Saccharomyces cerevisiae S288C: one gene and its partners. The gene in region 3 interacts genetically with the main gene of each other region. Each region holds a gene or a part of one and is shown on either strand. Other genes may lie near its edges. The genes, in order: AIM18, YGL235W, UBC8 and PDB1.

Region 1 (8,563 bases), on a different chromosome or scaffold from region 3:
TGAAACGAACGAATCATCCTCAAACGCCAATACTGGCCTGGAGACTTTAAAAGCGTTAGAAAATTTGGAAAATGTTACAATCCCTGAACCCAAACACGAAGTCCCAAAGGTCGTCGATGATACTGCCATATTCAAGAAAAGGTCAGTAGAAGAAGTCATTGAAAGAGAGTCTACATCTTCACATAAGAAAGTGAAATTCGTTGAAGAAACAACCGTGGATAATGGCGAAGAATTGATTGTAAAAAAAGCTGTAAGCCAAACTAAGGAAGAAGAGAAGCCAATGGAGGACAGTGAAGATGAAGAACAGGAGGAGTTTGAAATTCCCGCTATCGAATTAAGTGATGACGAAGAGGAGGAGGAAGAAGAAGAATAATAATATCAACCAGATTTTGTTTGGTTATATTTCGACTAGAATATATGTATGCATATGCTAAAATTGTACATAGGCATTTACGAATGAAAATAGTGTAGAGGTATGAACAAGACTAAATTCTAAAAGTTTAGAGGAGTGTGATCAATTTGTCGATAGCTGTTTTTTTGGCTTGTGGAGAAGGAGATTTTTCGCCACATAAATATTGGCTAAATAAGAATTTTCCGACGAGTTGATTATTAACTACTCCCATGACCTCAAATTCGTTGTTTTTACTGTCATGATATGAAAATTGTAAAGCGCCGTTGGCTAATAATTCGATGATCAAATCGTCATTTTTCCTGACGGATCCCTTACGTGAAAAGGCATCATTTAACTCACTTAGGCCCTTCGCCAGTGTGTCTTTATTATTGGCCACATCGGGATGTTTAGAAATAGTTTTGACCAGGCCCTCCTTAAGATGCTTAAAATCTGTATTCCTTACGGGAGTTATCTTGGCTAGCATTCTCATTCCAGAATCCAGTAAGTCATCAATCATCATAACGGATTTTGAGTCATCACGTTTCAATAATCTAGCTAGATTCTCCTTAGGAGTCTTAGAATCATCCACATCAAGGAAATATTTATGTAAATAAGTTTCATTTAGAGTGTCTGAAACAAGGTTTTCGTCATTTTCAGCTAGATAAAGACCCAAGGCATAGACCTTGAACCTCAAAAACGTGACGTGCCTTTGACCATATCCCAGTAATTTAAAAGTTGTAGAGACAGGGAAATTTAAAGCAGTAATCGTTAGTGGGAAATCTGATACGCTAGAGTCTACCTGTATCGATTCAGTATGAGAAGGAAAAGCATCAGTTTTATCGTCATTTTGTACCGGACGATCACGGTAGTATAACGAAGTAGCGAGCAATGTTGACGCCGCAAACCAGGGCCAATAGTGGAACGTCGAATTAGAACGCCCAGGGTATTTAGTGGCTCGTATACTAGTAAAATTTCTTTTGAAACATTGCCAATGGTTGGTTGATGGAGATTTCTGACATTTAGCTAGTGTTCGCTGGAGTGATTTTAGCATATTGGCGCACCTTCCTCTGTCCATGAAGGGATTCTATCGCGGTTGTAACGCCGTAAGAGTTTTGAATTGATTTTTTCTTGTCAAAACCGAATAGCATTGTAAACATTTTGAGGGGTCCCTCCTAGAAAAATTGAGTCGAAAGGAAACTCAAAAAAACATCATTAGAGTATATGTGCAGCTTTTGGAACAGCGTATGTATTATGTAATTGTATGTAGAAGTCGGCGAAAGTGTCCTAAGATAGAGAGACGAGTGCATCGATTACTTCCTTCCTAGCCTCCGGAGAAGGAGGATCCACAGCAGCTAGGTAGTGGGCAAATAAGAGCTTTCCAATAAGGGGTTCCTTCACTGTGCCCAATATCACAAATTCATCCTTCTTTCTTGCGTAGTAAGACAAATTCATAGAGCAGTCCTTATTCAGCTCAATGAAAAAATCATCATCTCGAGCCACAAGTCCTTTTACGCTCCTGAAACAGTCATGCAATTCTTGGAATCCAGCTTCCAGCCGGTCTTTGTCTTGAGACTGAGAATCTGGGTTCTTTAGGACGCTCTTTTTGGTGCCGTCCATCAATAACTTGAAGGAACCTGCTTTTATCGGAGTATTCTTGGACATTAGTCTGATTCCGCTGTCTAAGAGGTTATTAATCAGGATAGGGGCCTTAGCAGGATCGTTCAAAGCCGCACGCAAATTATCCTGATGTGAGTTTTCCGGTGATGGGGGTGCCGCAGTGTCGATGAACGCCTGAGACAGGAACTTTGAGTCCAGTACTTCAGAGACCAGATGTTTGTCTTCAGCGGCCACATATATGCCCAGACCATATGCTTTGAAAGTGATCGATGAGACACAACGTACACCCTTACCAATCAGCTCATATTGCGTGGAGAAGGGCCACTGTGGGGGGCCCATCTTCTTAGGGAACGCAGAGATGGATGCGTCCACTGCAACGCTGGTGGCATCCGCCTTTTTGATCTGGGAATCGTCATACCATTTCTTCGCGAATATGGATGCCAGTGCTAACCCTGTTAACACAGGCACTACTTTGCTGCCCTTCTTGTTCACACGAGCATTGCCCGCTGTAGTAGAGTAGTGAGAATACCATTGTGGGGCCCTCCTCATACCTACCTCTAGGCAATTTGTTTTCACCAAAACTTTACTGATTAAACGCATGTTTCCATATACCTGGCCTTCTGCTAAGTAGACATGTATTCAACAAGGGGATGTAACCACACGCTGCTTTAATACCAACAAATCGGCCGCTGATTAGTAATAGGTGCATCATTGCGAATACCGAGAAAGGGTCCATTATACGAACTAATCATTCTATACGGCGTCCTTCCTGTTCAAGCACCTCTCTGATTAGTTCCTTTGATTGAGGCGCTGATGTTGCATCAGGCTGCTGGAGCAGATTTAGTTTCTTTAACGTCTCCTCTTTAATATTTTCGATCAGTTTTTCTGTTGTTTCCACTGAGGTTGTGTTAGTAATTAGTGCGGGTGAAGGTTGGGGGTAGAGTGTTGCGGTGAGGTGACATACGTTCCAGCTGCATTCGATGTAGTATTGCGCTGCGCAACTTCTGCCGTTCTTCGGGAGTGAGAGCCGGTATCATCGTAACCGAGTGCGGCAGCTGCCCTTTTGCTGATGTTGTTGCCACTTCTTGTTTACAATTGTATTCTCTTGAAGTTATATGGCATTATAGCTGCCGGGTTATTTCCGCCAGGCGGGTTTTCGCCACCGGAATTTACAACTAAATACACACTTATATCAGACTTTTAAAGCGTAAAGAAAGAAGGGAAAAGTCAATAAATAACTCAGCAGTAACCGCACAATGGTATTGGAAGCTACAGTGTTAGTGATTGATAATTCAGAGTACTCTCGCAATGGCGACTTTCCTAGGACAAGGTTTGAAGCCCAGATCGACTCGGTAGAGTTCATATTTCAAGCCAAGAGAAACAGCAATCCTGAGAATACAGTGGGTCTTATCTCTGGTGCTGGCGCCAACCCCAGGGTGTTATCTACGTTTACCGCCGAGTTTGGGAAGATTCTTGCTGGACTACACGACACGCAGATCGAGGGTAAGCTGCATATGGCCACTGCGTTGCAGATCGCTCAGCTGACTTTGAAGCATCGCCAGAATAAGGTCCAACATCAAAGGATTGTGGCATTTGTGTGTAGCCCAATAAGTGATTCTCGAGACGAATTGATCAGATTGGCAAAAACACTGAAAAAGAATAATGTTGCCGTGGACATCATCAATTTTGGAGAGATTGAACAGAACACGGAGCTTTTGGATGAGTTCATAGCTGCAGTGAACAACCCTCAAGAAGAAACTAGTCATTTGCTTACTGTGACGCCTGGCCCCAGACTGCTGTACGAGAACATCGCATCTTCACCCATAATTCTCGAAGAAGGATCCTCCGGTATGGGCGCCTTTGGTGGGTCTGGCGGTGATTCCGATGCCAATGGCACATTTATGGACTTCGGGGTAGACCCATCAATGGACCCAGAACTGGCAATGGCCTTGCGTCTGTCTATGGAAGAAGAGCAGCAAAGACAGGAAAGGTTAAGACAGCAGCAACAACAACAAGATCAGCCTGAGCAGTCTGAACAGCCTGAACAACACCAAGACAAATAGTAGTGTACAAAAATATCTATATGGGTCATATATAAACCAAATAAAGCATATATAACATCTCCCTTCACTCTTCCAGGTTTGAGTACGCTTCCTCTAAATAGGGGACGACTTGCTTTCTGGTGGCCTCGACGTTCAGTTGCTTAAACATCGCCACACCTCCATCAAGATTGCCCCCAAATAATTGAAGTTGGAGCTTGTCGCTAACCCTTTCAATGAGTTCACGTACCACGTTAGAGTCTCCCAATATGACCAATTCTCTGTGTGAATCACCAGCTTTCCTCCATGAAGTCAACAGAACCAATACATCGAGCCCCCTCTCCGCCTGAAATCTTCTGCATTGGTTGACGAAATCTGCTTCACCACCGTGTTCATTGAATAGCCAAGACATTCTTTTTACTATTGATGAAAGACCAATCTCTAACCCTTTGTGTCCCTTTCCTTGGAAATTGAATTGTTTGTAGTCCTTCTTTAGAATATCGCTTACCGAAAATCCTTTAATATCGTTCTTTCTTGATTTTATCTCTTTATAAAACTCACTGCTGTCCTCTAAACCTTGCGCAGACACTTCATTAACCGCACCACTAAGAACAGCTTGGCATCTCTCGATAGCTAATTTATCACTTTCCTCGACTTTGCGCCTCATATTTGAAGTGTCTATTAAGATGGCCCCCATCAAAAGTGGTGCAATGTTCATCACCACTTCACGGTCACCTTGCAATTTTTCATACCAGTAGTTAAAAACCAGCGATGAGCAACTGCCGGACACTTTTACAATCCGAGGTTCAGCATCCAAATGTTTTTGCAAGTCAAAATGGTGGTCTATAATGCCAACGACGTTATCTATATAATTTTTCAAATTCTTTGGTGTATCGTTATTATCTACCAAGTAAGAGTTTAATTCAGTACCCTGGGAGACATTTTGCTTCAAGCTCTTTAAATCTTCAATGAAGAATAATTCCTCCTCCTTAATTTTCAGTTTTTCTAGGACATACATTACGTCTCTTCTTAAACTGAGGTCTTCTCTAGGAATGTCGATAATTGGGACAATAAAGCTTCCTTTCTTTTTCTCCTCCGAGTAAGTACCTTCATTATATATGTATTGGCAGTACGAATAAGTGATTGCACTAGCAATTGAGTCCATATCTGCTGACTCGTTACCAACACATATTGTTAACACATCGTTGCTTGCAATTTTTGAAATTGGCAGTGATTTTAAGTGTGCCAAAAATTCAGGAACCGTCTTTCTCAAAGGCGACATCTTTCTTAACAATCGGTGTTTTGAACTTTTTGATTATTTGTTTCAAGTGGCTTTAGTTAATTATGTACACTTCGTTTCTTTTTTCTACTCTTAAAAGTGAAAAAAATGAAAAATCAGCGGCATGTATAGCATACAGATAATAGGAAAAAGGTTGTGAGTTATTCTTCGAGACTATTTCGACTCGTATTCTAAATTAGAATTCAAGTAGGTGGATAATGTGACAAAATGAATGAAGGTTAGAGCTTTACACAGAGTATTATCCTCGGCGTTTTCTATCAAAGCTTCTGGTTATTCCATACTTTTTTCAAGGACAGCAGAAACATATGCCATTTTACACCTCCTGGGAAAATAATTTGTAATTTTCTAGTGACTCAATGCTTGTTGAAAGTGATCTTGTATAATGAGTGTACACATGAGATGTGCAAATTTCTTCATTACTTAGCGAGAAGTGTACACTCTTGAATATAATAACACTAACAGTGGAATCATCGGTAATAATAATACTATTGATCGTAGTGAAAGCAAAACACGACTGTACTTGAGTTATAAATTTTGTTGCTGTAGAAATTTCAGTGATCATTCATTAGCAACTTATTAAGATGACGATTATATTTTACGGTTCTTTTCACAAACCATTATACTTGCTAAAGGTTGTAAAAGTCATACACTTTTTAACATCAAGATTTCAGTACAACAATTTCTTACATGTAAAATCGTTTGCAAATTAAGTTCGCCAAATTGTATCTTAATTAAAATCTATGTGTTCAGAAGTTGAATATTGGTAAAAAGAAACAAAATGTATAAACGAACGAAAAAGGAAGTGATCAAAATAGAGTAAGGAACCAAGGCATTAGGTTCACCCGAACGTTATCATATATACGCTCATATTATTCCAAGAAAGACACATTTGTCTAGATAGGTTTCGGTAAAGGCGTCCGTAGTTAGAGAGTAGATGGCACTAACTTGAAAGCAGGAAAACAAACAATTGTGTTCCAGAGCAAACTCGAACTTTCTATCTGAACCATTGCATGACGTAAAATTATTATTACAACCATAATGAAACATTTCTACAGTATATCTTTAATATTATTTTTTACTTTAGTGTCCTTATCGATCAGTCGCTCTTTCGCCAACTAGCCGCCAATTGCAAAAGCCGATAAGCTTATTTCCCCTCAAGCCGTCAACAAGAACTACAGCAATAACAAAGAGAGTGAATGCAATAAAGGTGTGCGCAACAGTGTAAAATGATACTAAAGCTTGTACACTGTTTAGTTGCTCTTACAGGATTAATCTTTGCAAAGCCGTATCAACAACAACAGGCAGTTTTAGCGCCGTCGCAGGATGTACCATTAAGAGATATCCATATAGGGGATATAAATTTTATCCATACAACCGATACTCATGGCTGGTTGGGGTCCCATCTATCACAAAACGACTATGATGCTGACTGGGGAGATTTCGTTGCATTTGTAGATATACTTAGAGAAAAAATTTTACGACAGTCCAGAGACGTAATAGTCATCGACACTGGCGACAAACGAGACGGTAATGGTTTGAGTGATGCTACTTGGCCCCCCGGCCTACGAAGCTCGGAGATATTCAACATGATGGATTACGATCTTTTAACGTTAGGTAATCATGAGCTATATACAGCTGAAAGTGCCATACTAGAGTATAGAGGAACTTCTCAGTCCTCAAAATTCAAAGACAAATATGTTTGCAGCAACGTAGAATTTATTGAAGATGACGGAACAAGGGTTCCTTTCGGGAATAAATACATTACATTCGAGACTCCCATAATGAAACAAAGAGTCCTGGCATTATCATTTTTGTTTAGTTTTCAAAGAGCAAATAACAGAGCCATCGTAACACCACCATTGGAAGAAATAACTCAAAAAAGCTGGTTCCAAAATATGGTTGAGACAAACAGAGAGGAGGAAATCGACCTAATTATTGTCTTTGGTCATTTGCCTGCCACTGACCCTACAGAGCGTGAAATGCACAAAATTCATGCTCTAATAAGGAAATACTACCCAAATACTGTTATACAATATTTTGGAGGGCACACTCATATCAGGGATTTTGTACAGCTGGACTCAAAATCTACTTGTTTACAAAGTGGTAGATTTGCGGAAACTGTGGGATTCTTGTCAATTAATATGACTGACCCTGTGGACGCCGAAAGTCCTATTTTCTCAAGAAGGTATATTGACTTTAACAAGGAAGCTTTCAAATACCATTTGAGCAAACTAGGGCATGACTCGAATGTTCCAGTCTCAACGAAAAAGGGTAAAACTATTTCTCGTTTGGTGAATGATCTGCGCCATGAACTAAATTTGAACGAGAAACTGGGGTACATTCCTCAAACTTACTACGTTTCAACAAGGCCATTAAACTCCGAAGAGAATCTTTATCATTTGATCACGCATAAGATTTTACCCAATTTAATTCCTCCCAAAAACTATGAACCTTCGATGAGTCGTTTCATTTTGATTAACACTGGCTCTGTCAGGTACGATCTTTACAAAGGCCCATTTACAAAGGATACTGAGTATATAGTGATGCCATTCAATAATGATTGGCGCTTCATCACAGTTCCATTGGTCGTTGCCTCCAGGGTGGAAACCTATTTGAACAAGGGCCCTGTCATTGCCTCATTAGGAATACCATCATCGTCTCATCACAAACAGCATTTTGGCGGTTTTCAGAAGTGTCCCTTCATCAATAATCCAAATTTAAGCGAAGGCTACACCACAGAAGACGATTTCGGGTGTCATGGTGATGACACACCTCACAATTCACAAAGAGAATACGATATCCCCAATGTAGTGCAATGTAAAGAGGTGAAGAAAGTGCAAGAAGAGGAAGCTGATCCGTCGAAGATGGTTCATGTTATCTTCTATTCCTTTATGGAACTCGATATATTAAACGCCGTAAATTCTATCATAAATGATTTAGGATTACGTATGGAGAACTTGACCACCAATGACTGCTCCCATTATGGTGGTGATTCAACCAAAAAGTTATTACGGGATTACTTTTCTCAATTTTAGAGTATTCTGCCATTTTTTTTATTTATTTATGCACATCGTTTAAAAAAGTTCATTTGCAGCGGAAATTGCACCTTTGCTCTCTCGTCCCTGTCTCTAATGAGGCACACTGGTTACACATTTCATGAAAAAAAAAGAAAAATTGTATGTATAATGCTTGTCACTTTTTTTATAATTGATATAT
Region 2 (2,978 bases), on a different chromosome or scaffold from region 3:
TCTTCATTTGTAACCCGTTGATCTTCGCCTCTTGGAGAAGGCGCTTTTCCCATATCCAAGGGCATCTCTATGGGCTTCTCTTGAAGAGAGGGACTGCGTGAAGCTGCTGCCGTTGATGTTGCAGCCGCTGTATCAGATTGCAGATCTGTTTCTAATGGATGAAATTTCGCATCCGTTTCGTCTGCTGACATGGCGTTCTTGTTCCTCTTCCAAAAAGAAATGCTTTTCCAAATACAGATGCGATTAGTAAATCAAATTATAAACGACAGTGAGTTGCCCTTTTGCAAGTACCTTCAACACAAACACTTTATTTATTCATCGAGGTCCCCTTGTAAGGGAGAATTAATGTTACGATACAAGAAGTTTTCCGGGTAAGATTGCTAAATAACGAATTTGATGGTTACATACAATGAATTATTTACATATACAAGCTAACGATTAAAGGATATTTACATGACTGGTTGGCTTGGCTTCCGTGCCACACGGTAGAGTTCAAATAGGGCTGCCGCAGTGATACCTTGAATCCGTCTTGCTTGGCCTATGGTCAATGGCTGTACGCGGTTCAAGAGTAGTTTGCATTCAGTGGAAAGCGTGGGTAACTGACGGTAATCGTAATCTTGCGGCAACAGCATATTTTCGTCTGCCTGAAATGCCTTCACAAACTGGTTCTGTTTGACAATGTAAGGTTCGTATTTACCTTGAATGTTAATTTTGGTGACAACATGCATTGGGATGTCCAGCAAATTAATGGGTAAATCGGGAATGCACTCGTAGAGTTTATGTAGATCCATATCTTTGAATCTGAATATTTCCCAAGCAGATCTGTTTTCAGCCTGTGGCGCGATATTAGCCTGTAGTAAGCTAGACCATTTTTGAGAGCTTAGCTTGAAATTTTGAAGCGCCCGTATTGTTTCATCATATAGGTGCTTGTCTCTTGAATATTGACTTAAACGGACAGGAGATATAATCCCTAGTTGAGCACCAATGGGCGTCAGTCTGAAGTCTGCGTTATCGGCTCTTACGCTGATTCTGAATTCTGATCTGGAAGTAAACATTCTATATGGTTCTATGACGCCATTATTGATTAGATCGTCAATGAGCACACCAATGTACGCTTCGGACCTTTTCAAGACCAATTGCTCCCGTTCTTGGCGCGATAGTAATCCTGCATTGATACCTGCAATGATCCCCTGTGCAGCGGCTTCCTCGTAGCCTGTAGTACCATTTATTTGTCCGGCCAAGAATAGTCCATCCACCAATTTTGTTTCCAAGCTAGGCTTTAATTGCCGTGGGTCTACGTAGTCGTATTCCACGCCGTATGCCGGCTGCAAGATCTCAACGTTTGCCATGCCCGGGATGAGCCTCATCATTTGTAACTGGACATCCTCAGGCATAGAATTGGATATCCCGTTCGGATAAATGACGTCGGAGTTGAAACCTTCTGGTTCCAACCATATCTTATGGGAAGATCTATCAGGAAACCTTAGAATCTTAGCTTCGATGGAGGGACAATAGCGGGGGCCTTTGATGGTCGTGTCCTGAATATGAATGGATTGATGCAAGTTATTGCGCAAAAAGTCGTGCATTTGAGGTGTGGTATGTGTGCCAAAGCAATCCAGTTGCTTCGTGGGTTCGACTGACACGGTTTCATTCAGAAAACTCATAGGGACAGGCAACGCATCTCCCTTCTGGACCTCCAGAGCGCTGAAATCAATGGATTCCTTGGCCAGCCTAGCCGGAGTGCCTGTTTTCAAACGCCCTAACTGAAAGCCCACCTCATTTTGTAGAGTATTGCTGATCCCATATGTTGGCTGCTCGCCAATTCTTCCTGCTGCAATACGCTTGTCGCCGATGTGAATTTCTGCACTGAGAAACGTACCTGTAGTGATTATGACCTGATCTGCCCCAACCTGGGTACCGTCATCCAGAACCACACCTTTGATGACCTTGTGGCCACATCCGGGGTCATACAAGATCAAGTCAGCAACTTTGTTCTGCAGCAGAGACAAGTTGGGGTGTGCTTTCTTGTCGGAAAGTTCCCTTTGCATGTATTTCTTATATAACTCTCTGTCTATCTGGGCTCTGGGCCCCCACACAGCAGGACCCTTGCTTCTGTTCAGCATTTTGAATTGCACTCCAGCGAGATCAGTTACTTTGCCCATCAGCCCATCGAGAGCGTCGATTTCCTTTACAAGGATGCCCTTACCCACTCCACCAATAGAGGGGTTGCACGAACACTTACCAATATCTGTTAACGATGGTGTAATGAGAGTAGTATGCGCACCAGTCCTAGATGACGCAGCTGCAGCTTCGCAGCCTGCATGTCCAGCACCGATGACCACGACCTGTGTCTTGGTTGTGGGTTGGAAGCTTGTCAAAGAAGATATGGTCAACCGCCTCCTGAGGACCTGTAAGGGAAATGAAGTACACGAAGACGCCAAGGTTGTTACACGCAGCATCGTTCTTTGGGGCGTTTAGCTGGTATTCTGCAGAAACTATTGGATGCCCTCAAGATTTAAGTGAAGAATTAAACCGCACTTATCCGTCTGTGAAAGATGCCACCATACGTTACCAACCATAAAGAAAGTGGCCGCACACAGGTACCTTAGAGAAGCCACAAGGGCTCGATTACACGGTGGCGATCAAGAGCCATACAAAAGTAGAAGACCCCCGGATGAAGAAGCACCTCTTTGTACGTTCCTTCTGCAACGCCATATCTAAGTAACAAGAAAGAAGCCACAGCATTACTACAACCCCACACAGGGACAGACAGATATCATAAACTTGAATCTACTATATCATACTCTAATAACTACCTAAGCGTTAAGAAATCGTCTAATCTTCAACTGCCGTTGTTCATACCGTGACTAATAGTGGCAGTAAGCAGCTTTTTTTTTTTTTCAAAATTTTTCATTTTTTTTTTCAGTTGACTCGCCCCGTCGGTAGTGACAAGTGCCGACTGACTCGTGTCCTGGTAA
Region 3 (4,396 bases):
GAAGTTATCAGGGAAAAAAAATGTAGGAAAAGCCTGCCACTTTTATACACCATAGATAGACTCATGTCGTTATTGGAAAATGGAAAGCCTTCCTTGCTTCCTTGTTTCCTTGTTTGCTGGTGTCACTTGGCTCGACTACCTTTACCGTTGCAACAGCCCCTTGGACAAAGCTTATTTGGCCCCCACGAGAACGCGGGGAAAGATGATGCCGTAATATAGGCAAAAAGGGGTATTGCGGAAGAGATAGTGAAAGCTCATCAGAATACAAAACATTATTGCTTTCTGACTATCACATTGTTGATGAGTGCCCTGCCCTTCCCCTGGATGACAGACTACAGAATTCACCGTTCAGGAACAAGAGCAAAATTGAGCCCGCAGGCCACTAGCCCACAGAGATCCTTGTAGTTGCTTGATAGTTGTTTGTAATTATAGTCGTACGTGTGGTATAGTATGCCATCATATATACTTATACATACATACATATATATATATATATATATATGTGTGTGCTCGAAATTATTGATTTGCGACTTCGTCGTAGTCATCGTCATCACTGACATCTATGTCACTTAGATCCTCGCTTAACTCATCTACGCTATCATCGCCACTGGAAACACCAGTGCCATCCATATCTTCATCAGAATCACTGTCCTCTTCTTGTAAATCACCGCCGCTATCACTGTCATCGCTATCATTATCTCCGCCAAACATTTGTTGGTACTTTTCCTTTGTAGCATACTTGTCTATATACTCTTTGATTTTTTCCTCATACAGTTTTTTATCTCGTAATTGCAATGTGGCAGCTTCGTTATTCAAGGGATCGCTACCATTAGGCTCCTTTAATAAACCTGGTATCATCCACTCCACTATATTTATCAGATCATATAAAGGCGACCATGTAGAGTTAATTACGTCCAAACATATGGACCCCGATGCGATATCAATGTTAGGATGGAATATCTTGTTAACGAACCCTATGCTTGGCGACTTGTATGGGTAATTATCCGGCAACTCTACATGTAACCTCCAAACCCCATTTTCGTAGGGTGTATCCTTTGGTCCCAAGAACTTTACATGAAACTCTTGCATGCTATCATTGATTAAATCCACTTGATGATCACTCATCAACAGTTTCATAACATCTGTCTCGATCCTTCTTTTAGAGCTACTGTTTCATTAAACGATATCTTTGAAGTTCATTGACATTTTCTTTGTTAGTGATCCTCATTCTATGGCATACTTTCTCAGAAGAGTGATATATAAATATACGTATATATCTTATCAAACATACCTCATCTTTCGTATTACGCTCCTTTCTTCCAATATTCCTTATGAAATACTATTAATATTTTGCTCTTACTTCTAAATTATATTCGAAAACTATCTCGCTTGATAATTACGGATTACACTATTTATCAAATGTGGCAGAACTGGAAATCCTACCTATGCTTTACGTTAGTGATACTTAAGCGCAGATAGCTGTTTCCGGTGCTCACCCTTTTTTTTTTTAATTCCACTGCTCCGGGAGCATTACCCGGTGGACGAAGCTCAACCTACTATTATTAAATAAGAAAACGTAAGAATGTATATTTACGCAGATGTGCACACGAGCATTGAAACAAGGATTAATGTGCCACTGATAGAATTCAGACTGCTGTGTGATTAAGAGGAAAACAAATTATCGTGAAGAATCGTTGATTCGCCTTTATATATTCTTGTATTCTTTAAGAGACATGCATTGCGATAATTTCCCCATGATATTCTTAACCTTATGAAGGGTCAGTCTACTGGAAGGTGCATGAAATATGAGTGAACGTATTTTCATTAGCAGATGAGAGACACCGGGATTAAAAAAACTATGTGAAGAATAGTGTTGATATATGATAAAATTATTGTGGAAATCAATAATTAAGAGGTTTTATAGTGTAGTGGTTATCACTTTCGGTTTTGATCCGAACAACCCCGGTTCGAATCCGGGTAAGACCTATTTTTTTCCCCCGCTCAGCTAACTTGTATTTTTAATAGATCTCCCACCATCAGAGGACGAAGAGAGAACTGTATTATCAATTGTGTTTTATTACAATATATTCTAAAAACGAAGATATAGATGTTATCTAGAATTGGTTTTTGTATGTAGCCCTTCTCTCCCGCTTTCTCACTTTTTGAACATTACCTCACTACAGTTGCCATTCAACAATGTAACGAACATTATCCGTAGGTAAAATTTACGACACTTCAAACTTCTAGAAGGAAATAGGCATATACTACGGAACAAAGACAGCCTCTTATTCGTTTTTAAGTTTTTTCTTCTTTTATTAACAAAAAAAAAAATAAAATAAAAAAAATCAATTGAAATTAGAATAGAGTAGAGTAGGTAGAAGTAATATGATGTAAAAAAAGGAAACAAAGATTAAAAAGATGGAAGAAATGGAGAGAAAGAAAATAAAACTTCTGAGAAGAAAATTTTGATAAAAATTATAATGCCTAGTCCCGCTTTTGAAGAAAATCAATGTAAAAATTGTAAAATCTGTTGAGTAATATTATACAATTCCAAACTTGCATCCTCTACAGGTTGATGTTCAGATCCTGTGTCATTGTTATTACTGTTGTTATCATTCGAGCTTGGATTGTTGTTGCTCCCCGGATTTTTAACATCAATTCCTGATCTTTGTAAACGCTCAAAGGTCACATCTGCCATTTTTCTCACTCCGTTAATGATGTCGTCATCATTTTTAACCAAATCTTCCACTTTATCATTATGACTTTCTAGCAATTGTAAAATTGTCCATAGCGCAATGTGTTCAAAGGTAGCATAGTCACTTTTCAAAAATCTAATCAGAAATCCACGAATGCCTTCATTCGGACGATCCCATGCTTCAATAATTTTTGTATAATTATTCACTCTTGAACATAGATTTGCCAAAGCAGCAGCAGCATTACCAGAAACTTCTTGGTTCTGGGAAAAAGTCATAGGGATTAAAGCATCTAAGATATTTGCTTCCAGTAGATCCAATTTGGAGACATCTGCTAGGGCTAAAATAGCAAAACATGCGGAAATTTCACTTTGAACACTAACAGGTGAATCTAGAGCCAGTTCCTTACATTTTTCGACAGCACCACTTTCGAAGAACTCTTTTCTGTTTTTTTCAGATGATGCAGCCAAATTTCTCAAAGTAGATACGGCGTGACATTGAATTTCTTCTGAATCCTTATAGTCCAACAATCTTACTAATGGTTTTAAGAAACCTGCATCAACAATTAAACCTTCATTTAGAGGGTGAATAGAAATGTTTCTAATGCATGCCACACTAGCCAAAACCAGTGGTATAGAATCACTTTGAATCAACTTTACCAAATGAGGCAACCCACCAGCCCTTACAATTTCTAATTGGTAGCTTGTATCGGACGCTAGGTTTCGTAAAGCCAAAGTAGCTTGACATTTTACCCTTGAAGATGGAGAATCCATCAGACTAACCAATTTGGAAACCAATCTTGGCTCAGTTTGAGCCAACTTCTTGCGATTGGCTTCATCCACTGCTATATTTGATAAAGCAGTAGTACAATAGTACTGAACATCAGGATCGGTGGACGACAGTAAAGATACCAATACAGGCACAGCACCTGCATTAACCAATTCTTTTCTATTTTCCTCAGAATGTGTCATATTTAATAATGCACCTGTAGCATTTCTCTGAACTCTTATATGTTTGGATTTAGCTAGCTTAGTCAATGGAATTAAAGCACCAGAAGTAGCAATCTTATGTTTATTGTCATCCCTTGTGGCTAAATTGGTAATGCATCCAACAGCATTACATTGAACTTCTACATTGTCACCCATCATTTGGTTTATTAATGGCTCTAAGCCTCCCATTTCCACAATTAATAATTTATTTTCATTATTAACGGCCAAATTACCCAAGGCTGCACAAGCGGCCACTTGAATCTGTGGATCTTGGCTTTGTAATAATATTAAGATGGGTTCCAGTACCTCTCTAGAGACCTGACGGACGTATTTTTCAGTAATTTCTGCGAATGCCAGAGCGGCGCTCCTTTGCAAATTTAGATTATCTGAATACACCAAAGTAGTTAGGGCCTTTAGTGGACCACCAGAGTAAAAGTCTAATTGGTCTTTATCCTCCAAATACCCTAGTAATAAAGTCACCGCTTCTCTTTCATTATCGGCAATTGGTGAGACACTGGCCTCGTCTGAAGAATCTTTCAAGCAACTACAACATGAACCCATAGTTGCAAATGTATATATAGTACAGAAGAAAGAACACCCTTATAGTTTGCTCAGTTCCTGTCTTCGTAGGATTGGAAATTGGCTAATTGCTTTTTATAGGGTTGTATAAATATATAATACCTTATTTTAACAACAAAAGGAAAAGTAGGAGAT
Region 4 (8,761 bases), on a different chromosome or scaffold from region 3:
TTTGTCAGCATTTTTATGTTCAGTAATCATTGAACTTGTATGGTTATCATGTGCTTTTAAGTTGGAAATTTTGTTACTGGTTATACTGGTTAACCCCCTATCATTCTTACTATCAATGTTTTTTGCTTCCTTATTGGAGCCCATTGTATTTACTTGAGCAGTTTATAAAAAGTGGATAAATGAGGGGAAAAATAATAAAAAAGAAAATTGAACAATCCTTCAATATGTGTCCTTTAATAATTACTACTACTTTACACACTTCTCCAGTAGCTGCTGCTTGTTTCAGGTGATGTGAACAACGTGTTTCAGCGTTCTTGGTAAGTGTTGGTATGGATCCCTTCTGATGTATTTTCGGCGGCCGCACTAAACTGCGAAAATGGTAATTTAATAAAGGGCTTATAAAGAGGAAAATAATGCAGAGAAACGGTGAGCCCAGACAAGAATGATGATAATGTGTTTTCAACCGATCATTAATGTCACGAGAAACAAATTTCAATGGAACTAAGAGGAAGAGGTCGGATGTTGCCGAGAAAGTAGCACAACGGTGGAAGAGCGTCAGGTATAGTGCTGAAATGGAGAATATGGCTCCGGTCAACAGTAACAATGATAGCGACGACTGCGTCATAGTCAGTGAATCGAAAATCATTGATTTGACTAATCAGGAACAAGATTTGAGTGAGAGAATAGAAACAAACGATACGGCAAAAGGTGCCGTTTTTAAACTAATGAAATCGGACTTCTATGAAAGAGAGGATTTTATGGGAGAAGTAGAGGATATGATTACATTGAAAGATATCTTTGGCACTGAGACACTAAAAAGAAGCATACTCTTCAGTTTCCAATACGAACTTGATTTCTTGTTGAGACAATTCCACCAGAACGTAGAGAACATAACCATCGTCGGCCAAAAGGGTACTATTATGCCTATCGAAGCCCGTGCTATGGACGCGACACTGGCAGTAATATTAAAAAAGGTCAAACTTATTGAAATAACGATGCCCCCATTCGCTTCCCACCATACGAAGCTGATCATAAACTTTTACGATAATGGCGAATGCAAAATATTCTTGCCATCTAACAATTTTACGTCAATGGAGACTAACCTGCCTCAACAGGTGTGTTGGTGCAGTCCCCTTTTGAAAATAGGTAAAGAAGGGCTACCAGTACCGTTTAAGAGAAGCTTGATAGAATACCTCAATTCGTACCACCTGAAAGACATTGACGAATTGATTACAAAAAGCGTAGAGGAAGTTAACTTTGCTCCTTTGAGCGAATTAGAATTTGTATATTCTACGCCCTCCAAATTTCAGTCGTCGGGTTTACTGTCGTTTTACAATAAACTAGAAAAACTTTCTGCTGGCACAAGTGCTAGTGATACTGCAAAACATTATCTATGTCAAACTTCATCCATAGGGACATCTCTATCAAGAGCGCGAGACGAAAACTTATGGACACATCTAATGATTCCTCTGTTTACCGGAATCATGTCCCCTCCAGCAAAGGACACCGCTGGGAGGAAGAAAGCAGAAATACTGCCAACGAATTCATTGATTAATGAATATTCGCAGAGAAAAATCAAGCCGTACATTATTTTCCCCACCGAACAAGAGTTTGTCACCAGTCCCTTAAAGTGGTCCAGTTCCGGGTGGTTTCATTTTCAATATCTTCAGAAAAAGAGCTACTACGAAATGCTGCGAAACAAGTTCAAAGTATTTTACAAGCAAGACCCTGCTATGGTTACTAGAAGACGAGGGACGACGCCCGCGCACTCTAAGTTTTACATGCATTGTGCAACAAACTCCGCAGGGCCCTGTGATGCATCGCAGGTATTTAAAGAACTAGAATGGTGCCTTTATACTTCGGCAAACCTCAGCCAAACAGCATGGGGCACCGTTTCAAGAAAACCACGCAATTATGAAGCAGGAGTGCTTTACCATAGTCGCAGGTTAGCAAATACCAGGAAGGTCACGTGCCGTACTTTTACACGTGACCGTAGAGGCTGCGCGGGTAATCCCACCCATGTGGCCGTGCCATTCACGCTGCCAGTCATACCATACGACTTAGCTGAGGACGAGTGCTTTTGCCTTGCTCGTCATGAGAACGACTAACAAGTAAGAGCGCGATGTTGCTGTCCACTTAGGCATCACTATATGGGGCCAGGAATGGCAAATTTACTTGATAAACTTCAGGCGATTGGATTTTGGTGCTCAGAATATTTTTTTCTCGGGCCGAAAGCGTCTTTAACTATTCCGAGCTAAAGCTTCCGAGTCCTTTATTCGGTCTTTTTTTATTTTTCAAGATTAACTGTATATAAATAGAGATGGTATGATTAAAAGCTCTTTTTAATAGATGCTCCTTCTTGAAATTTACTCCCACTGTGCTGCAAGAGGTTAGACGCTTCACGCACATTTTTGCTACAATGACAAGTGCCGCTACTGTTACTGCTTCGTTCAACGATACTTTTAGCGTATCCGATAATGTCGCCGTTATTGTTCCTGAAACGGACACTCAGGTGACCTACAGGGATCTATCCCACATGGTGGGTCACTTCCAGACCATGTTCACAAATCCTAATTCTCCATTGTACGGAGCTGTTTTCAGACAAGATACAGTGGCGATATCCATGCGTAATGGGCTGGAATTTATCGTCGCTTTCCTCGGTGCTACTATGGACGCTAAAATTGGCGCGCCCTTGAATCCCAATTATAAGGAAAAGGAGTTCAATTTTTATTTGAATGACCTGAAATCTAAGGCGATTTGCGTCCCAAAGGGTACCACAAAGTTACAGAGTTCTGAAATTCTAAAATCTGCCTCCACGTTTGGATGTTTTATCGTAGAGCTGGCCTTCGATGCGACCAGGTTTAGGGTAGAGTATGATATATACTCTCCAGAGGACAACTACAAAAGGGTTATTTACCGGTCTTTGAACAACGCCAAATTTGTCAACACAAATCCCGTTAAATTCCCTGGGTTTGCCCGTTCCAGTGACGTTGCCCTGATTTTGCATACCAGTGGTACCACCTCCACTCCAAAAACGGTGCCTTTGTTACATTTGAACATTGTGAGAAGCACGTTGAACATTGCTAACACTTACAAGCTAACGCCCTTGGACAGATCTTATGTCGTGATGCCTCTTTTCCACGTCCATGGGTTAATTGGTGTTTTACTTTCCACTTTTAGAACTCAGGGTTCTGTTGTGGTTCCCGATGGATTCCATCCAAAGTTATTCTGGGACCAATTTGTTAAGTACAACTGTAATTGGTTCAGTTGCGTTCCCACAATAAGCATGATTATGCTGAACATGCCCAAACCAAACCCTTTCCCACACATTAGATTCATCAGATCGTGTTCTTCTGCTTTGGCTCCAGCAACGTTCCATAAGCTGGAGAAGGAATTCAATGCACCTGTCTTGGAGGCCTATGCGATGACCGAAGCATCACATCAAATGACCTCAAACAATCTGCCTCCAGGAAAGAGAAAGCCTGGTACTGTGGGCCAGCCACAAGGAGTCACCGTCGTCATTCTAGATGACAATGACAATGTCTTGCCCCCGGGCAAAGTCGGCGAAGTTTCCATCAGAGGCGAAAACGTCACTTTGGGGTATGCTAATAATCCAAAAGCTAACAAGGAGAACTTCACCAAGAGAGAGAACTATTTCAGAACCGGTGACCAAGGTTATTTCGACCCTGAGGGGTTTTTGGTCCTTACAGGCAGAATCAAAGAGCTTATCAACAGGGGTGGTGAAAAGATTTCACCCATTGAGCTCGACGGCATTATGCTATCGCATCCAAAGATCGATGAAGCCGTTGCATTTGGTGTTCCCGACGATATGTACGGCCAAGTAGTTCAAGCCGCCATTGTTTTGAAGAAGGGAGAAAAAATGACCTACGAAGAACTGGTGAACTTCTTAAAGAAGCACCTAGCCTCTTTCAAAATTCCAACCAAGGTGTACTTTGTTGATAAGCTACCAAAAACCGCTACAGGTAAAATCCAGAGAAGAGTTATCGCAGAAACTTTTGCTAAGAGCAGCAGAAATAAGAGTAAGTTGTAGGCAGTATCCTGTACAATTTTATGCTCTCTGAAAGCTTCTATCTGGCACCCGTTTATATACGCCAATACTTATGTATTTTATCTATCTAATGAAACCACAGTATTTATCATGCCTAAGCTGATTCTTTTTCGTCGCGGCTGTTTCCGGGGTCTGTTTTCCGAGACTTCGAAGTGGGAGAACATGCAAAAGAGACGAGTCTTCAACTAAGAAGTTCTCCGTCATTAAAAGTCATGCGTTTGCACGTTTGCAATAAAAAGAGGTGTATCTACATATACAGGTTAACGATTGCAACAGCGACTCTTGATATTATCTCTGTCAAGTTTCTTCCTTTTGTTAGACTAATTTAGTATCATTTACACACTCGGACGTTAAATTCCGCCTCCCTCATAACAGTTCCTGTGTTTGTTCATTGATAATCGATCGCAGTTTAGTAAGTTCTTTTACTTTTGCAATAATTTTGTTCAACATGTTTTCCAGACTGCCAACATCATTGGCCAGAAATGTTGCACGTCGTGCCCCAACTTCTTTTGTAAGACCCTCTGCAGCAGCAGCAGCATTGAGATTCTCATCAACAAAGACGATGACCGTCAGAGAGGCCTTGAATAGTGCCATGGCGGAAGAATTGGACCGTGATGATGATGTCTTCCTTATTGGTGAAGAAGTTGCACAATATAACGGGGCTTATAAGGTGTCAAAGGGTTTATTGGACAGGTTCGGTGAACGTCGTGTGGTTGACACACCTATTACCGAATACGGGTTCACAGGTTTGGCCGTTGGTGCCGCTTTGAAGGGTTTGAAGCCAATTGTAGAGTTTATGTCGTTCAATTTCTCTATGCAAGCTATCGATCATGTTGTCAATTCCGCTGCAAAGACTCACTACATGTCTGGTGGTACTCAAAAATGTCAAATGGTCTTCAGAGGTCCTAATGGTGCTGCAGTGGGTGTTGGTGCTCAACATTCACAGGACTTTTCTCCTTGGTACGGTTCCATTCCAGGGTTAAAGGTCCTTGTCCCTTATTCTGCTGAAGATGCTAGGGGTTTGTTAAAGGCCGCCATCAGAGATCCAAACCCTGTTGTATTTTTAGAGAACGAATTGTTGTACGGTGAATCTTTTGAAATCTCAGAAGAAGCTTTATCCCCTGAGTTCACCTTGCCATACAAGGCTAAGATCGAAAGAGAAGGTACCGATATTTCCATTGTTACGTACACAAGAAACGTTCAGTTTTCTTTGGAAGCCGCTGAAATTCTACAAAAGAAATATGGTGTCTCTGCAGAAGTTATCAACTTGCGTTCTATTAGACCTTTAGATACTGAAGCTATCATCAAAACTGTCAAGAAGACAAACCACTTGATTACTGTTGAATCCACTTTCCCATCATTTGGTGTTGGTGCTGAAATTGTCGCCCAAGTTATGGAGTCTGAAGCCTTTGATTACTTGGATGCTCCAATCCAAAGAGTTACTGGTGCCGATGTTCCAACACCTTACGCTAAAGAATTAGAAGATTTCGCTTTCCCTGATACTCCAACCATCGTTAAAGCTGTCAAAGAAGTCTTGTCAATTGAATAAATAAACTTCAATCCAATAGGAAGGAGAGAAAGAAGGAGATAGGGAACTTTTTTCCCTGTACCCTACACTTTCTACCCTCTTCGCGGAAATAGTACTAATGAGAAAAACATAAATAATATTTTGCTAATCAAGACATGTATGGCGTACTGGTTATTAGTAGATATATAACTGCAAATACACACATACATACAATGTATATATTTTGTTTTTACAAAATTGAATGAGATAAGTACTGTGCACATTGAATGAGTTCCTGTTTCATGGTTAGAATACGCACATATTTATTTTCTTTTTTTTCTTTTCGACGACAGGCTGAATGAAAGAAAGAAAATAAAGATACTCTGGCATGCGAAAATAAGTGAAAAATAAATCGGCTATAATGCGTAAGCTACTGTGGGAAGCAGAAGCAAGACCTAAACGTTTGGTGAGGCAGTATAATATACCATAGTTATAGGGGGATAAAACAAAAGTAGGCATGGAACCTAAGCGAAAGAGCGGGTCACTAGCCAAGCATGATTTGCCGCAATTTTATCTTTTAATTATGTTATATTTGGCTCAAGGCATACCTGTAGGATTGGCCTTCGGTACCGTACCGTTTCTACTGAAATCTTTAGCAAAGGAGACCTCGTTTACATCACTGGGAATTTTCTCTATGGCTACATATCCATATTCTTTAAAGATCATATGGTCACCAATAGTAGACTCACTGTACAACAAGCGCATCGGTAGAAGAAGATCATGGATCATTCCAGTACAATTTGTTAGTGGATTTGTGCTATGGGCATTAGGGTGGTGCATATCACAAGGCATAATCTTCGATGGTGTCGACGATGCGTTCCATAATCGCGGTAATGGCACTTTACACAGTGTCAGTATAAAAAATTTGACGTGGTGGTTTGGCCTGTTAGTTTTTCTGTGTGCCACTCAAGACATCGCAGTTGATGGTTGGGCGTTGACGATTTTGTCCAAAGAATCCCTATCATATGCATCTACCGCGCAAACAATAGGTTTGAATATTGGTTATTTTATGTCATTTACCATTTTCCTGTCGTTGAATTCCTCTGATTTCGCCAATAAGTATTTCAGAAACATCCCACTGGATCACGGGTTCATTAGTCTTGGTGGGTACATGAAATTCTCGGGCATGCTTTACATTGTAATAACCATATATATCATCTTTTGCACCAAGGAAAAACCCTACGTAGAGTATTTGCCCAAAGTGGAGCCCATAAATACAAGTGACGGAGGGTCAAAGCCGATAAGTATTGAGTATGACGACGGTGATGTGGTGTCAACTCAGAATACAAGCAGTATAAAGTACATTTACCGCTGCTTTATAAAAGTGTTGAAATTGAAGTCCGTAAGAAGCCTAGCCTTCATTCACATGATTTCGAAATTTGCCTTTCAATGCAACGAAGCCGCCACAAACCTGAAACTACTAGAGCAAGGCTTCAAAAGAGAAGACTTGGCTGTGACAGTACTCATAGACCTGCCGTTCGAAATCATATTTGGGTACTATGTTGTTAAATGGAGCTCCGACAAGGACCCCATGATTCGTGACAATAGAAGATTAAGAAACAGCACGGGCACCAACAAGGTCATCAAGTTCTTAGTTGGGGATGCCGGCGTTTTAACACCATGGTTGTGGGGCTTTTTGGGCCGTCTGGCAGCCGCGGTCTTGGGAAGTTACGTGGTGAAGCAATTCCCCAAGGATGGTGAAATATCCACGGGTTATTTTTGTCTCGTGATATTCCAGCACCTCTTAGGTTCCTTCATGAATACTGTCCAGTTCATTGGAATATCGGCCTTCCATACAAGAGTTGCAGACCCCGTGCTGGGTGGCACATATATGACATTGTTAAATACCCTCAGCAACTTCGGTGGGACATGGCCGCGGTTAATCATTATGTCCATGATCAACTACTTCACCGTGTATCAGTGCACTATTCCTGGCACAAATAAAGTATACGTAACTCACGGCGGCAGCATGCAAGCGTGCACCGAGCTTTTGAATGGCACCGTGACCATCCTGCGTGACGGCTATTACATCACCAATCTCATATGTATTGTAGTCGGACTTTTCCTATATTTTGGATATTTGAAAAGGAAAATCCTCCATTTACAAAGTCTGCCAATCAGTTCCTGGAGATGTACGTAACGACCCCTCAAACAAGAATTGTACGACATTACGTTCAAGAAAATTTTAACGAGTATCGTAATATTTACAAGATCTTTTTATGTACTACAGGAAGCAGAAACAAAATGAGTATCAATACCAGTGTAAATCTGTTAATGAGAATCATCACATTATCCCAGTTTTTTCCATGCAAGGGAAAAATATACTATACGACATTTCTATACTTTAATTATCAATTAAGGTCATCTTTCTGTACGAAAACTAACCACGATTGTCACTAACGACGTGTCCCTTACCCGACGCAGCTGCTGATAGCGTACCGCACAGGCACAGCCAGCTCTTCTGTGATTGGCAGAGAGGGGTCCTTCCTGCGGAAGACGCCGCAAAGGCACATATGACTAACCTTTTTTTTTTCGCAATTAATTTTCTAATAGTTTTTCATTTTTTTTTTACAATTTTGGCAGTTACGTCTCGAGCTATTTATTATAAGAGTCAGAATTGGCGCAGGGAGTGTTAAGTAAGAAGTACTCCCCATCGGATATTTCCTATTGTGTTTCTGTGATTTTTAGTCCTTTTTTCTTTTCTCTTACTTTCGGTATCCTTACTTGATTACATACATAAACAAGCCCCTCTTTTCTTCCAAACTCTTGTAGCTTACTATCTGTGGCCCGTCATTTGAGTTTGATTTTTTTGCCAATTACTATATTGCAAAATAAAGGACAGTTACTAGGAGAGAAAATAAGGGACATAGAGAACAAAATAAAATATGAGCAGTAGCAAGAAATTGGCCGGTCTTAGGGACAATTTCAGTTTGCTCGGCGAAAAGAATAAGATCTTGGTCGCCAATAGAGGTGAAATTCCGATTAGAATTTTTAGATCTGCTCATGAGCTGTCTATGAGAACCATCGCCATATACTCCCATGAGGACCGTCTTTCAATGCACAGGTTGAAGGCGGACGAAGCGTATGTTATCGGGGAGGAGGGCCAGTATACACCTGTGGGTGCT

What was found.
Region 1: mutations in UBC8 (region 3) and AIM18 together harm fitness more than expected from each alone (negative genetic interaction), as found in Saccharomyces cerevisiae (2 studies listed by BioGRID).
Region 2: mutations in UBC8 (region 3) and YGL235W together harm fitness more than expected from each alone (negative genetic interaction), as found in Saccharomyces cerevisiae (2 studies listed by BioGRID).
Region 4: mutations in UBC8 (region 3) and PDB1 together harm fitness more than expected from each alone (negative genetic interaction), as found in Saccharomyces cerevisiae (2 studies listed by BioGRID).

Annotation. Positions count from the first base shown.
Region 1 is NC_001140.6:495,815-504,377, forward strand, and holds AIM18 (Aim18p), read right to left. Parts: upstream 1,467-8,563; coding exon 501-1,466; downstream 1-500. Other genes in the region: RIX1 (Rix1p), read left to right, coding at 1-373; AIM46 (Aim46p), read right to left, coding at 1,676-2,608; NBL1 (borealin), read right to left, coding at 2,757-2,905, 2,973-3,045; proteasome regulatory particle base subunit RPN10, read left to right, coding at 3,265-4,071; PPX1 (exopolyphosphatase), read right to left, coding at 4,136-5,329; SMN1 (Smn1p), read left to right, coding at 6,574-8,382.
Region 2 is NC_001139.9:53,338-56,315, forward strand, and holds YGL235W (uncharacterized protein), read left to right. Parts: upstream 1-1,941; coding exon 1,942-2,478; downstream 2,479-2,978. Other genes in the region: transcription activator HAP2, read right to left, coding at 1-191; tRNA modification protein MTO1, read right to left, coding at 450-2,459.
Region 3 is NC_001137.3:128,672-133,067, reverse strand, and holds UBC8 (E2 ubiquitin-conjugating protein UBC8), read right to left. Parts: upstream 1,297-4,396; coding exon 1,292-1,296; intron 1,169-1,291; coding exon 517-1,168; downstream 1-516. Other genes in the region: protein anchor VAC8, read right to left, coding at 2,507-4,243. UniProt on the Saccharomyces cerevisiae protein: Catalyzes the covalent attachment of ubiquitin to other proteins. Required for the adaptation to the presence of glucose in the growth medium; mediates the degradation of enzymes involved in gluconeogenesis when cells are shifted to glucose-containing medium.
Region 4 is NC_001134.8:662,010-670,770, reverse strand, and holds PDB1 (pyruvate dehydrogenase (acetyl-transferring) subunit E1 beta), read left to right. Parts: upstream 1-4,517; coding exon 4,518-5,618; downstream 5,619-8,761. Other genes in the region: YBR225W (uncharacterized protein), read right to left, coding at 1-144; TDP1 (tyrosyl-DNA phosphodiesterase 1), read left to right, coding at 474-2,108; PCS60 (Pcs60p), read left to right, coding at 2,420-4,051; YBR221W-A (uncharacterized protein), read right to left, coding at 4,129-4,233; YBR220C (uncharacterized protein), read left to right, coding at 6,094-7,776; YBR219C (uncharacterized protein), read left to right, coding at 7,468-7,768, 8,190-8,272; PYC2 (pyruvate carboxylase 2), read left to right, coding at 8,522-8,761. UniProt on the Saccharomyces cerevisiae protein: The pyruvate dehydrogenase complex catalyzes the overall conversion of pyruvate to acetyl-CoA and CO(2).